3 linked regions of the Arabidopsis thaliana genome follow. The protein of the gene in region 1 interacts with the protein of each later gene in a pairwise test. Each region holds a gene or a part of one and is shown on either strand. Other genes may lie near its edges.

Region 1 (3,753 bases):
TTGATATGCAAATCCAGATTTCGCACTACTAGAGACTATCCCCACTCAAAAATAACAGCTTTTTTGCTGTATCAAACAATGGTGGGTCCATTTTAACCACTGACCGTGATTAGCGAAATGAATATAGTGTTTACCAACAAAACTTTATGAACCCACAAATCAAAAAGCAATCACAAACCCAAATTTTGGATTCTCACAGAGCAATCAACAACTAATTGAATTCTCTTAATACTACTACTGTTCAGAACCAATCAACAACAAACAAAGCAAAAAAAAAGTAAACTTTATCAATGTGTTAAAGAATTCAAAACTTTGATATAACCTTGGATCCCAAAATGAGAGCGCCGCGTTCGAGAAAGAGCGTGAAATTGCTGGTGAGGTTGAAGCTTCCAGAAAGCCACGTGCCCTCCGGGACATTGAGCTGGGCCCCACCCTCCGCCGCAAAACCTTCAAGGTGCCTTACGGCGCGGCGGAAAGCGGCCGTGTTCGACGTCTTTCCGTCTCCAACACCGCCGAAATCGGTAATCGACATAACGATCCGGTTAGGGAACGGGTCGTGATTGAAAAACCCGGAGCAGGTAACAGGGTCGTCATATTGAGAAGTCGGGATCCAGAGAGGGAGAAAAGAATTGGAAGAGATTTGGAGAGAGAGAATCGCTAAGACGGTGAAAACAAGGAGAAGAAACGCCCACGAAGGTCTTGTAATGGCACTCAATACTGTGGTCGGATTCTTCTCCGGTTCCATTGTTTTTTGGAAACAGAGAGAAAACTCAAAAGCCCATGAAGCAAGCTCTGAGATAAAATTACAAACAGAAGAATGCTAAAGTGGGACTTTTAGATGGTTGGAGAGAATTATGCATGTGTGTGGCAATGATTAGCGTAGTGTGGTGGTGACAACAAACAAAGGTGGAGGAAGATAGAAAGTCGATAGATACCTTACCTCGAAAATTCGTCTCTCTCTTTGATTATTTTTGTATATATAAATAGAAAAAAGTAGTAGTAAATAAGAAAATTGGATACAGACACAGATATGTCGTGAAAAGGGCACTAAAATATTGGATGGTGCATGTGAATCGTCAAAAAGTGGCAAGGAGAAAGTGAAAGTCTTCACGAATTATATTTTGGTTTATATATAAAAGAAGAAGAAAGAAGAAGAAAGAAGAAGAAAGAAGATGGATGATACACAATCGGTCACGGACTCACGGGTAGGAAGGATTGTGAGGCGTTACAATCTCGTCAGACTTCCAAGTCTTAATCTGATGGGCCTTTAAATAGCCTACTGTACTGAGTTGTTTGTTGTGTTTTTGTTTTGTTTTTTAATGCCAAACTAAGGTATATGTCCGTATTTTATTGCTGGCAACATATACTCTGTCCGTTTGTGTTTTTTGTTTTTTATTTCATTTTTCCTCAAAATTACTTTTGTTCTTTTAAAAATATTAAATGGCATAAATAGTTAAACTATCAACCAGTAAATTATATATGATACAATAATGTTTTTTGTTTTGTTTAATTCATTGGACCAGATGGATTATTCAGCTTACATTTTTCAATATTGAATTGTAATTTTTTAGAGCTATAATCTTTAAAAAAGAATAAAAAAATCAAAAAAGCTTTTGCTCATCTTTGGAATAAACGAACTTGCTATTAAGACCAAGCCCAATAAACAATAAAAGCCCGAAAAAATAGAGCTGGGCCGGTAATTAGGATTATGATGATGGTATATAACTCACTATCAACTATCATGAGTTCATGACCATCATGGTTTATATCTAATGTCATATGATGGATGATGATAAGGTGGGCGAACATAACAAACATGATTCGGAATGAAGTCGTGCGTCTTTGACTTTGACTAGCTCTAAAAAAGCTTTGAAAATGCTCGTCCACGTCATCATCCTCTTTGTCGTTTTCTCAATCTTAAATGTCATTTTTTTAATATAGTTTTCACAGTACAACAACTCAACCCAGTAAAATCCCTTCTTTAAGCAAAGAAAATAATTAAAATTCGTCTTCCTTCCTTGCTCTCGGCGATAACTTGGTTTCTCTCCTCTCTCTCATCTCTCTTTGTTTCGACCCTTTTTTAGTATATTTCCAGGAAATATCTTCTTCCTCCTTTCGTTTTCTCTATCTCAGTTTTCTCTCTTCTCAGCATTAAGTAGTCAACGGTCAGCGATCTCGGCGTTCCTTCTAATCGGAAAAGTCTAGCTTCAGTTTCTTTTTTTTTTGCTTTTTTGGTTTCCGCGATTAATCGATTTGGGTATTTTGATTTTCTCTTCAAATTAAGTCAACGGGTGGATACGCGTTGAGAGGGCTTTTCTCGTATTCTGCTTCTAATTTCATCATCTTGGTATTACCTTGTGTGGGTGGTAGCTTAATCGAAGGATTCGAGATCCCTTTTATCAGGGGTTTTAACAATGATGGATTTTCTCTGATGAGGGATAGTTCTAGGGTTTGTTTTTAATCTCTTGAGGATAAAATGGAACGAAGATTAATGATCCCTTGCTTCTTTTGGTTGATTCTCGTTTTGGATTTGGTTCTCAGAGTCTCGGGCAACGCCGAAGGTTTCCCCTTTCTCTCTCATTCTCTTTCAATTTTTCATTCTTTCCAATTAAATTAGTTTCCCTTGTTGAGTATTTTGATTAGTATAGGCTTATGAGAGCTTGTTCTCACCTAAAGAAGGCATTTTTAACTTATCTGTTACTTGTTTTGCTGTATTGACTTGAGTTATATTTGGGTTACATCTGTTTCGACTGATTCCAGTGATTATGTATCCTCGTGACACTTGATGATTGCAAAGTTTGATTTTTTCTTCTTCTTTGGTTAATTGTAGGTGATGCTCTAAGTGCACTGAAAAACAGTTTAGCCGACCCTAATAAGGTGCTTCAAAGTTGGGATGCTACTCTTGTTACTCCATGTACATGGTTTCATGTTACTTGCAATAGCGACAATAGTGTTACACGTGTGTAAGTTTCTTTCTATATCTAGCCAAGATGATTCGGATTTTCGCATCTACTGAGAATTTACTTGAACTTCATTTTTGCTCAGTGACCTTGGGAATGCAAATCTATCTGGACAGCTCGTAATGCAACTTGGTCAGCTTCCAAACTTGCAGTACTTGTAAGTCATCTTTTCTTTAAAAGGCCGTCTTTTAACTTTTGGTGTATGTGGGATGTTAAAAATGTTACAATGTTCCAAATAACTGCATAATTTTGCATTATCATAGATTATTAGTTATATATCTTTCCGATCTTATGGTGAAATTAATATTAAAGAATGGTAATGACAGGGAGCTTTATAGCAATAACATTACTGGGACAATCCCAGAACAGCTTGGAAATCTGACGGAATTGGTGAGCTTGGATCTTTACTTGAACAATTTAAGCGGGCCTATTCCATCAACTCTCGGCCGACTTAAGAAACTCCGTTTCTTGTATGCACCATATTCTACTCTCTTCTTTTAATACGTTTTTAATAAGCAGCCTAATTATTGTCTTTAGTTTCCTTGATCGTGTTTGTCTTCCTGTAAAAGCTATTCGTGCAACGTGTTACATTTGTAGGAGTCAGAAAGTAGTGTCGCCAAATAGATGCTACGTTATTTTACTAGATGAAAAGGTGTTCTCTTGGAGACTAGGATGTTGTATAATATGGTCTATTTTAATTATGAGCTTTCGTAAAAGGAATCAGAACTCTATCCTTGTGTTCGCTTAATTTTACTGGAACAACACAAAGTTCCGAATTCAGGTGACTGTCTTT
Region 2 (3,753 bases), on another chromosome or scaffold:
GAGTGTTGTCTTGCATAGGTACAACCGGAGGAGAAGGAGCACTTCTCGGAGTCCAGATGGGTACCGTAGACGATTGAGAGACGGAAGCAGGAGCCAGAGTCCGAGGCATCGTAGCCGTAGCCAGAGCCCTAGAAAGAGGCAGCCAATTAGCCAAGACCTGAAATCCCGTCTCGGGCCACAGAGATCCCCCATCAGAGGAGGACGCACCTCTCCTGCAGAATCACTCAGCCCTTCTCACTCACCTTCTCCACCAGGAAAGAGAGGTCTGGTTAGCTATGCGGATTGATGGTCACTCTCATCCATTGGTTTCTCTGCTGACTTGCGAGTTTTTGTTTTAATTTCCGTGTTTTAGTGCAAGCAATAATAGGTAATGATATTTTTTATGTTGGTCGGATATATAATACTCTACCTTAGTTGCATTATTACAGATCGTGGAACATTGATCAAATTGAGACTGATATATGTTGGCAGAATTGAGTTTGGGAATCGAAGTTTGTAGAAAATTTATCGAACAAGTAGCATAGATATCTCAACATGAAAATCTAGTAATACATGTAAAGAAAGAAGGTTAATGATATTCCGCATGTTCATAGATAGGACTCGAATCTTTCTTTACCACAAGAGGGGTTTACAATGATACAATGATCATGTCCTAGAAGAGAAGGATCAGATGGGTTGGTCTTTGGGAACGATCTGATCCTTGATCCACATGTAGATAGGGATTAACACAAACCAGGCAGCTGCTAGAGTTCCCAGGAGGAAGCGTCCCAAGAAGGAGAAGGGGTTGTTGACAGGCTTCTCTACGTCCTCTTCCTTTGGACCAAGCTGCAGCATTTGAGTGATAAGTTTAGTGTATCAAAGAGAGAAGAAAGTAAAAAAGGTGAAGTGGGAGGTAAAAGACCTGGAGAGGAGAGTCACCGGAGGCAGGTTTAACACCAGTGACAGAACATCCCATGATAAGGCCGTGCCTGCGAACACCACGGTACCACTTGGGGCCAATCCTCTTGAGCTGAACGTCCTTGAAACCGGCATTCTTGAACCACTCAATGTACTCTTCCTCCTTGGGGAAGAGCATCCAGACATCAGAAAAGAAGCGAGAGAGCCAGAAGGTTGGGTAGACAGGGCCGATGAGACACGCTTTGCCACCGATCTTGAGAACCCTGTACGCTTCCCTTATTCCCCTCTGCGGGTCCGGCCAGTACTCAATGCTGTGTGATGATGAGACACACAATCAAACCCACCGGAAAGAAGACGATTATAAGAAGAAGAAGAAGAAGAAGAAGAAGAAGAAGAAAAGGATACCTTCCAGCAGAAACGTATCTGTCAGCATAATCGGTTGGAAAAGGAAGATCCTCAGCATCTCCCTCGACGATCTTGCATTCTTTCAACGGCTCCTTTTGCTTTGCTTTGGCCAGCTGATGTGGCGACTGGTCCAGAATGGTCACATTCTTGGCCTTCACTGTCTTGACTATGCCCAGAGTAGTGAAACCAGTTCCGCCGCCGACATCGACCACTCGCATGTCCGGATGGCTGAGATCCGCTGGCTCAAGAGCGTCGTCTCTCATATCCTCGGTCCAATGCCCAGGATTGATGACATGGTCGTATACGATGGATAAGAACCTGTAGAACCAGTAAGCCTCCTTCTTGTGCTGAATGAACCTAGGTTGCGCCGATGGCCGGGAAGACGACACGCTGCTGCTGCTGCATCTAGTAGCCACCGAGAGTCTAGGTGTGGAGGTTCGGGTAACTGAGAGTAAGGTCGGCCGAGGAATCGATCTGGCATGCAAATTGGAACCAGGGGAACCTAAACCTTTGGGGAAGGTAATGGCCCCGTTGAGCATCAAAGAGGCCATCGATGACAGATCCACCAAGTTGAGAAGAGGGAAGAAGAAGCTTATCTATCACCAATTCTCCGCCAATCAAAAACACAAACGAGAATGAGAGTGTGACTAAACCCTCTAACTCTAACAGAGTCAGTACTGACTCCAACCACATGTTTATGTACGGTCACGTTGTTTGTTGCGACAACACATATCCCTTTGTTGAGCCCATGGGCTCATTTGCAAGAATTGGCCCAAATAATAGTATTGGGCGTTTTGGCATTTTTCTGCAAATGGAAGGGAAAAGTCGATTTGAGTCAGAGAGAGAGAGACTTCGACGACAATTCAAACTTGTACGGACTAAGACCAGACTCTCTCTGACGTTGTCAGATCTGCGACCTGCTAGCGAGAGGATGCGAGAGGAAACTGTGGTTTACGAGCAGGAGGAGTCTGTTTCTCACGGCGGGGGCAAGCACAGGATCCTTGCAGAGCTTGCCCGCGTTGAACAGGAAGTCGCTTTCTTGGAGGTAGCTAAACTAACTCGTATCTCTTTCAAATTCCGACGTAGGTCTCTCGTGGATAGCTCAATTATCCTTTTTAGATCAATTGTTACAACAATTAGGTAAAGGTCGCTAAGATTGTTTCCTGTGAAAGCAAAAACCAGTATGGCAGATCTGTTCCAATCAGAAGAGCATGGTAGTTCTCTTGACAATAAGTGGCACCATTTCAGTCAGTCTTGTTTATGACTCTATGAATTGTATTCCCAAAATCTAAATCTGCTGGGTTCTCTTTGGATCCACTATTGGAATGGTTCTCTGTTGATCTTATTCTTAGGGATGTGCAAGAATACTTTTGATCATAGTCCAATTAGTATCATTCTCTCTTGGTTATCATCTATCGAGGCATGTTAAAAGTTAACCTTCTCCCAAGTTTCTCTGTTGCACAGATAATGTGTTTGCCTATTGTTCCTACTAGTGAGCTCTAACACTTACTAAAAATAGCTTTACTCTCTCTTTCTGTTTCATGTACTATATCCAGAAAGAGTTGAAGGAGGTCGAGAACACAGATATTGTATCAACCGTGTGTGAGGAGTAAGTATGGGATACTCAACCTATGTTTTTTTTTAACGCTTGCAAGCAACTGTGTGCTAGCTCCTGTAGGTATATTATCTGGATTTGACTGAAACTTGTACGTTGATTGGTGATCAAATTGATATTCCCTTGGTTCGCAGGCTGCTATCTGTCATCGAGAAAGGACCCGATCCTCTGTTGCCACTGTGAGTGCTTTTTAAACCTTGAAACTCTAGTGTTGGTTTGGACTGAATAACTGATGGATGTTGTGGTGCTGGCAGAACCAATGGACCTTTGAACTTAGGATGGGACCGGTGGTTTGAAGGACCAAATGGAGGAGAAGGCTGCAGATGCTTAATACTTTGATTCGCTAGACAGAGTAATGTGTTACATATACTAGTTTCTTGCTAGGATATCATTTTACATGGGATCCAAAATGGGGCTGTAGCAGAGAAAAAGCGTACAGATTAATGAGCATTGGAATTGCATAGAACGGCTTAGTTGCACCTACGTAAACAGTATTATATGTATATGTAATGTATGGGATCCGGATCTGACATACGAGTAATGGAGTTTCAGGCTTACAGCTTCTCATCTTCTTATTCTAGATCTTGTTGAAAGAAGCTGAAATGTGCATAGTGATATTTGGGGGCTAATAGAGTAATAGCTAATGAGGAAGTGGGTACAATCTTGAAGACCGTTAAGTGTGTCTCTCTTTTTTCTTTTTAGATAACTTTTGGCCACATCCACCCTCCATGATACACACACGCTAGTTTCGAGGATCAGAATACATACATACCTATGTTTATTATATAGATAGAACGATAATGGAACACAGAGCACATGCCTCATCTGTTGTCTTT
Region 3 (3,753 bases), 1.2 Mb from region 1:
GAACTAGAATATGACAATAACAGGAAAATGTCATCAGATTCTAAAACTTGTAATCAAAAGGAGAGTAATAATTGGTATCAAAAAATTTCTATGATCTCTGCCATTACCTAAGCTGCTGCAATCCCCACCACAAACAGTAGAAATATCTCTCGAAGAACTGTGAAGACACAACGTTTTTCGTGATTGCATTCCCAAAGATCCCATACTTGAACTCGCCATTCCGTGCATCACAGAGTTTAAACACTTTTGTGACATTTGCCCAAGTCATCTGATTATTGTCATACATTGAATCACAGTCTAAGTAATATAGCTGACAATTAACTTGGCCAGCTTCACCATTGCATCTTGATTTCCAGCACGATGTATATCTATCAACCGATAATATATACCAGGCTGCACCAAGCACCTGTCCCAACAAAAACATTGTAGCTTTGATTATCATCACATTTAAGGAATGAAATAATGGAAGAAGAAGGAATGGGATTCATACATGACTAGCCAGCATGTATAGCAAAAGATTATAAGCAGCTCCAGCCCAAGCAGTCTTTGTAACAACTCCAGTTGCTTTAACAATTTGAGAACTTAACGGAATTATCAAATAGAATCTTGGGATGTATTGGAGGAGCACAATCAAAGCAATAGCATTGTTGTTATGATCAAACCGGTAACTTTTTGTAGTCGATATAACAAACCAGATAACTATCTGTGGAAGTGGTAACGTCGCAATGAGATCGATGATGAAGTCAGATTTAATATACCTCCAAGCAATAGCCTTAGGATCCATCACAAGCTCACCTCTACCAAACACTCTAGTACTTGAATTAGGCGCAATGAAACCAGTCCTAAACTTAATGAAAATGTGCAGCAAGTAGAAAAGATCCGCTATTGTCCTGAAGAAAGTAACAAGGATGCTTAAACTTGTATCAGTCCTTGCACAAGGATAGTTTTTATCTCCTCCTATAGCTGGGACAAAGAAGTACAACGGGTCGATGAAGAGAGCAACCATACATGAGACAATGAAGACCCAATTCCATTTCAAGACAATCTCACTTCCTGGATCAAGAATAGTCTTGTACCATGAGACTTTAGAAGATTTGGACTTAGAAGCATCAGTGTATCTAAGTCTATTTCCAGGTAAGAGATTATCAGGTCTTAGTGCTGAAGGTAAAGAGAGCTTATAAGATTTGCTCATTGGATCATTCACTGCCCATTTAGCTTCTTTGCTTTCTTTCCCCTCTGAGTAAAACCTACAAAGCAATACACAACTCAAATCTGTAATCTGAAACCTAACTAGAGATTTAAGTTAAACCCAGTACCCAAAATCGGAGCTTGAGCTTGTAACATCTAAAGAAGAGATAAATCTAAAGCAAAGTCTAGAATTTTTAATTTCTGGGCAATCAAAGTTGAAGACTTTCAGGAACGTAAGTCTAACCGACGGATGAGAGAAAGAAAACTTACATAAGAAGCTTGTCCTTCCTTAACTCCATTAGAAGAAGCTCAAGCTCAAGCTCGAGTAAACAAATCTATGCAAATTAGAATTAACAGAAGCTTTTAAAAATCATTTCTTTGATTCGTGTCTCTGACACTCTCTCACTCTTACTCTCTCTAAATCTGAGAAAGATCGTGTTTTTGTTTAGTTCTTCCGGAGAGGATTGGAAGAGGAGAATCACTGAGTCACGGGACGAGTCAGAAATCGGAGGGATATTTGTTTTTTTTTCTTGGGAATACTTGAGCCATCGGTATAAGACAAGAAAGTCAACACATTTGACTAAAGTGACATTATTTCGTTAATCAAAGTCATTATTAGTTTACAATACAAAACACTAATTAGACAATGTTACTTGTTACTTCACAAAAACACTTCTTTAGTCTTATAGTCAGATCCAATCACAATCACTTTCTCCGTGTGAGTCACAATCTCACATTCCAATCAGAAAACGATTCTTTAGCCTCCTTTATTTTTATGTTCAATATAAACTTTTGAATCACACACTTGAAAACATAGTTGACATAACTTTGGAGGTGAAGTAGGTAAATTAAAATCACATGAACCAAGCTTTACTTAGAACTTATACTTCATCATGGACAAATTGAAACAGAAACATTGATGATTAACCACTGAATCTCAAGTGAAATTATGAGAAATCATTAAGGTAACATAAGCAACATGTTTAAAGTGACAAATGGACAACATTTCTATCAGTAATTGACTAGATTGAATTTAATAATTGGCATGATAATCAAACCTCAAACTAAGTTAAATTCTACAGAAACCCATCATTCTCTTATTGGATCAAATTCATCAAACGGTGAAGAAACAAGCTTTCAATTGTGAAGCCGTGTAAAAAAAAAAAAAAGACACTGTACATGACTATTGATGAAAACCAAAATTGCTGCTAAATATGATAACAAACTAAACACACTTTCAAATCTAATTATAAAACCACCGATCAAAAAATTTCACCTTGTGGTCTCCATCTTCTTCCTTCTTCAAATCTATAAACCCTATCCCTACAAATCGGACAAGTCGAGACTTTAATCAACCACAAGTCCACACACTTTCGGTGAAACACATGTCCACATCGAGGCAGCTTCCGACACCACTGTCCTTGTCTAAATCCATCGATACAAACAACACAATCATCGCCTCCGTACTCTGAACTAGGCTCACAATACTTGAATTGAGGAAGCCTCTTCACGCATCTTGGAGATAACCCATCTGAGTATTCGTGACGGCGATGGCGGCGGAGACGGTGGCGATAGTTTCGTTGAAGAAACCAGTAGAAAGCGAAGAAGAAGGTGAAACCGAGAGACGTGAGGATAAAGATAAAAGCGGTTATAGCTACAGGGATCATGATTAGACCTATGAGGAAGTTAGAGAGAATCTTCGTCGGTAGATTCTTCGTGTTCGCTTTTGGCGGCGGTGGAGACGGTGATGGCTCGCGGGAGATTGAGCCATCGTAGGGAATCGTTATCGACATCGACTTGCGGCGGAGATTAAAAATATTCTCTTTTACGAATCAAACTCTAATACTCTGTTTTAGGGCTAAATAAAGGAGAGATTTTTATGGATTTTGAAGATCGAAAATTTATCGGATTCAAAGTATATTGTACAAAAGAGTTTGTCTGATAGATATTTATATGCGGGAATATTCGGACATCTTTTTTATATCAGTTTTTGACGATAACTTTTTAACTAGTTTTGGCCCTTATGAGAGGAACTCGTGAGCAAAGTCTTTTTTTTTATATACCAAATTTTTCATTAAATTGATTAAATTTAACTAGAAAGAAGAAGATTAAGCGTATATAAACACAAATACACAGACACGTTTTAAAACAATGGGGTTCTGATAAATTATGTTACTAAATTTTGATCATACAGAATGTAGTTTGGCGTTACAAGAAAACTAGAGGAGAAAACAAAGGGCGAAACCAGACTTCATTTAAGGATAAAGTATTGGTGATGAGATTATATAAAATAGGGTTCAGTTTTGGGTTCCAATTATTATCTCTGTCCTCTGAGCTTCCTATCTGGTAATGCCGAGTGGGAAGTGATAAGGACAATCCGACAAGGGCAGCTTCCTCGGTAACTCCATTCCTTATGTCACCATACCTACCTTTACATTCAGAAATTCTTTGCATCATTTTTAATATTATCTCGTTGTTTCTCACGTTTTATTCCGGTTCATTTTGCGGTTATGATCCGGTTATCTTCGTGGTTGAGCTTGGTTTAGAATAATGTCTCTTATCGTC

The links.
Region 2: the proteins of BAK1 (region 1) and GG1 interact in a two-hybrid assay, tested with the Arabidopsis thaliana proteins (one study listed by BioGRID).
Region 3: the proteins of BAK1 (region 1) and CNGC17 interact in a two-hybrid assay, tested with the Arabidopsis thaliana proteins (one study listed by BioGRID).

Annotation. Positions count from the first base shown.
Region 1 is NC_003075.7:16,089,012-16,092,764, reverse strand, and holds the start of BAK1 (BRI1-associated receptor kinase), read left to right. Parts: upstream 1-1,987; 5' UTR 1,988-2,476; coding exon 2,477-2,561; intron 2,562-2,830; coding exon 2,831-2,963; intron 2,964-3,045; coding exon 3,046-3,117; intron 3,118-3,286; coding exon 3,287-3,430; intron 3,431-3,557; coding exon 3,558-3,698; intron 3,699-3,753. Other genes in the region: AT4G33440 (Pectin lyase-like superfamily protein), read right to left, coding at 323-745.
Region 2 is NC_003074.8:23,415,150-23,418,902, forward strand, and holds the start of GG1 (Ggamma-subunit 1), read left to right. Parts: upstream 1-2,099; 5' UTR 2,100-2,113; coding exon 2,114-2,347; intron 2,348-2,858; coding exon 2,859-2,911; intron 2,912-3,051; coding exon 3,052-3,096; intron 3,097-3,171; coding exon 3,172-3,256; 3' UTR 3,257-3,753. Other genes in the region: AT3G63400 (Cyclophilin-like peptidyl-prolyl cis-trans isomerase family protein), read left to right, coding at 19-286; APG1 (S-adenosyl-L-methionine-dependent methyltransferases superfamily protein), read right to left, coding at 667-825, 902-1,208, 1,303-1,853. UniProt on the Arabidopsis thaliana protein: Guanine nucleotide-binding proteins (G proteins) are involved as a modulator or transducer in various transmembrane signaling systems.
Region 3 is NC_003075.7:14,856,293-14,860,045, forward strand, and holds the start of CNGC17 (cyclic nucleotide-gated channel 17), read right to left. Parts: upstream 1,728-3,753; 5' UTR 1,488-1,727; coding exon 1,459-1,487; intron 1,248-1,458; coding exon 491-1,247; intron 407-490; coding exon 108-406; intron 4-107; coding exon 1-3. Other genes in the region: AT4G30370 (RING/U-box superfamily protein), read right to left, coding at 2,451-2,981. UniProt on the Arabidopsis thaliana protein: Probable cyclic nucleotide-gated ion channel. Forms a functional cation-translocating unit with AHAs that is activated by PSKR1/BAK1 and possibly other BAK1/RLK complexes. Required for PSK-induced protoplast expansion.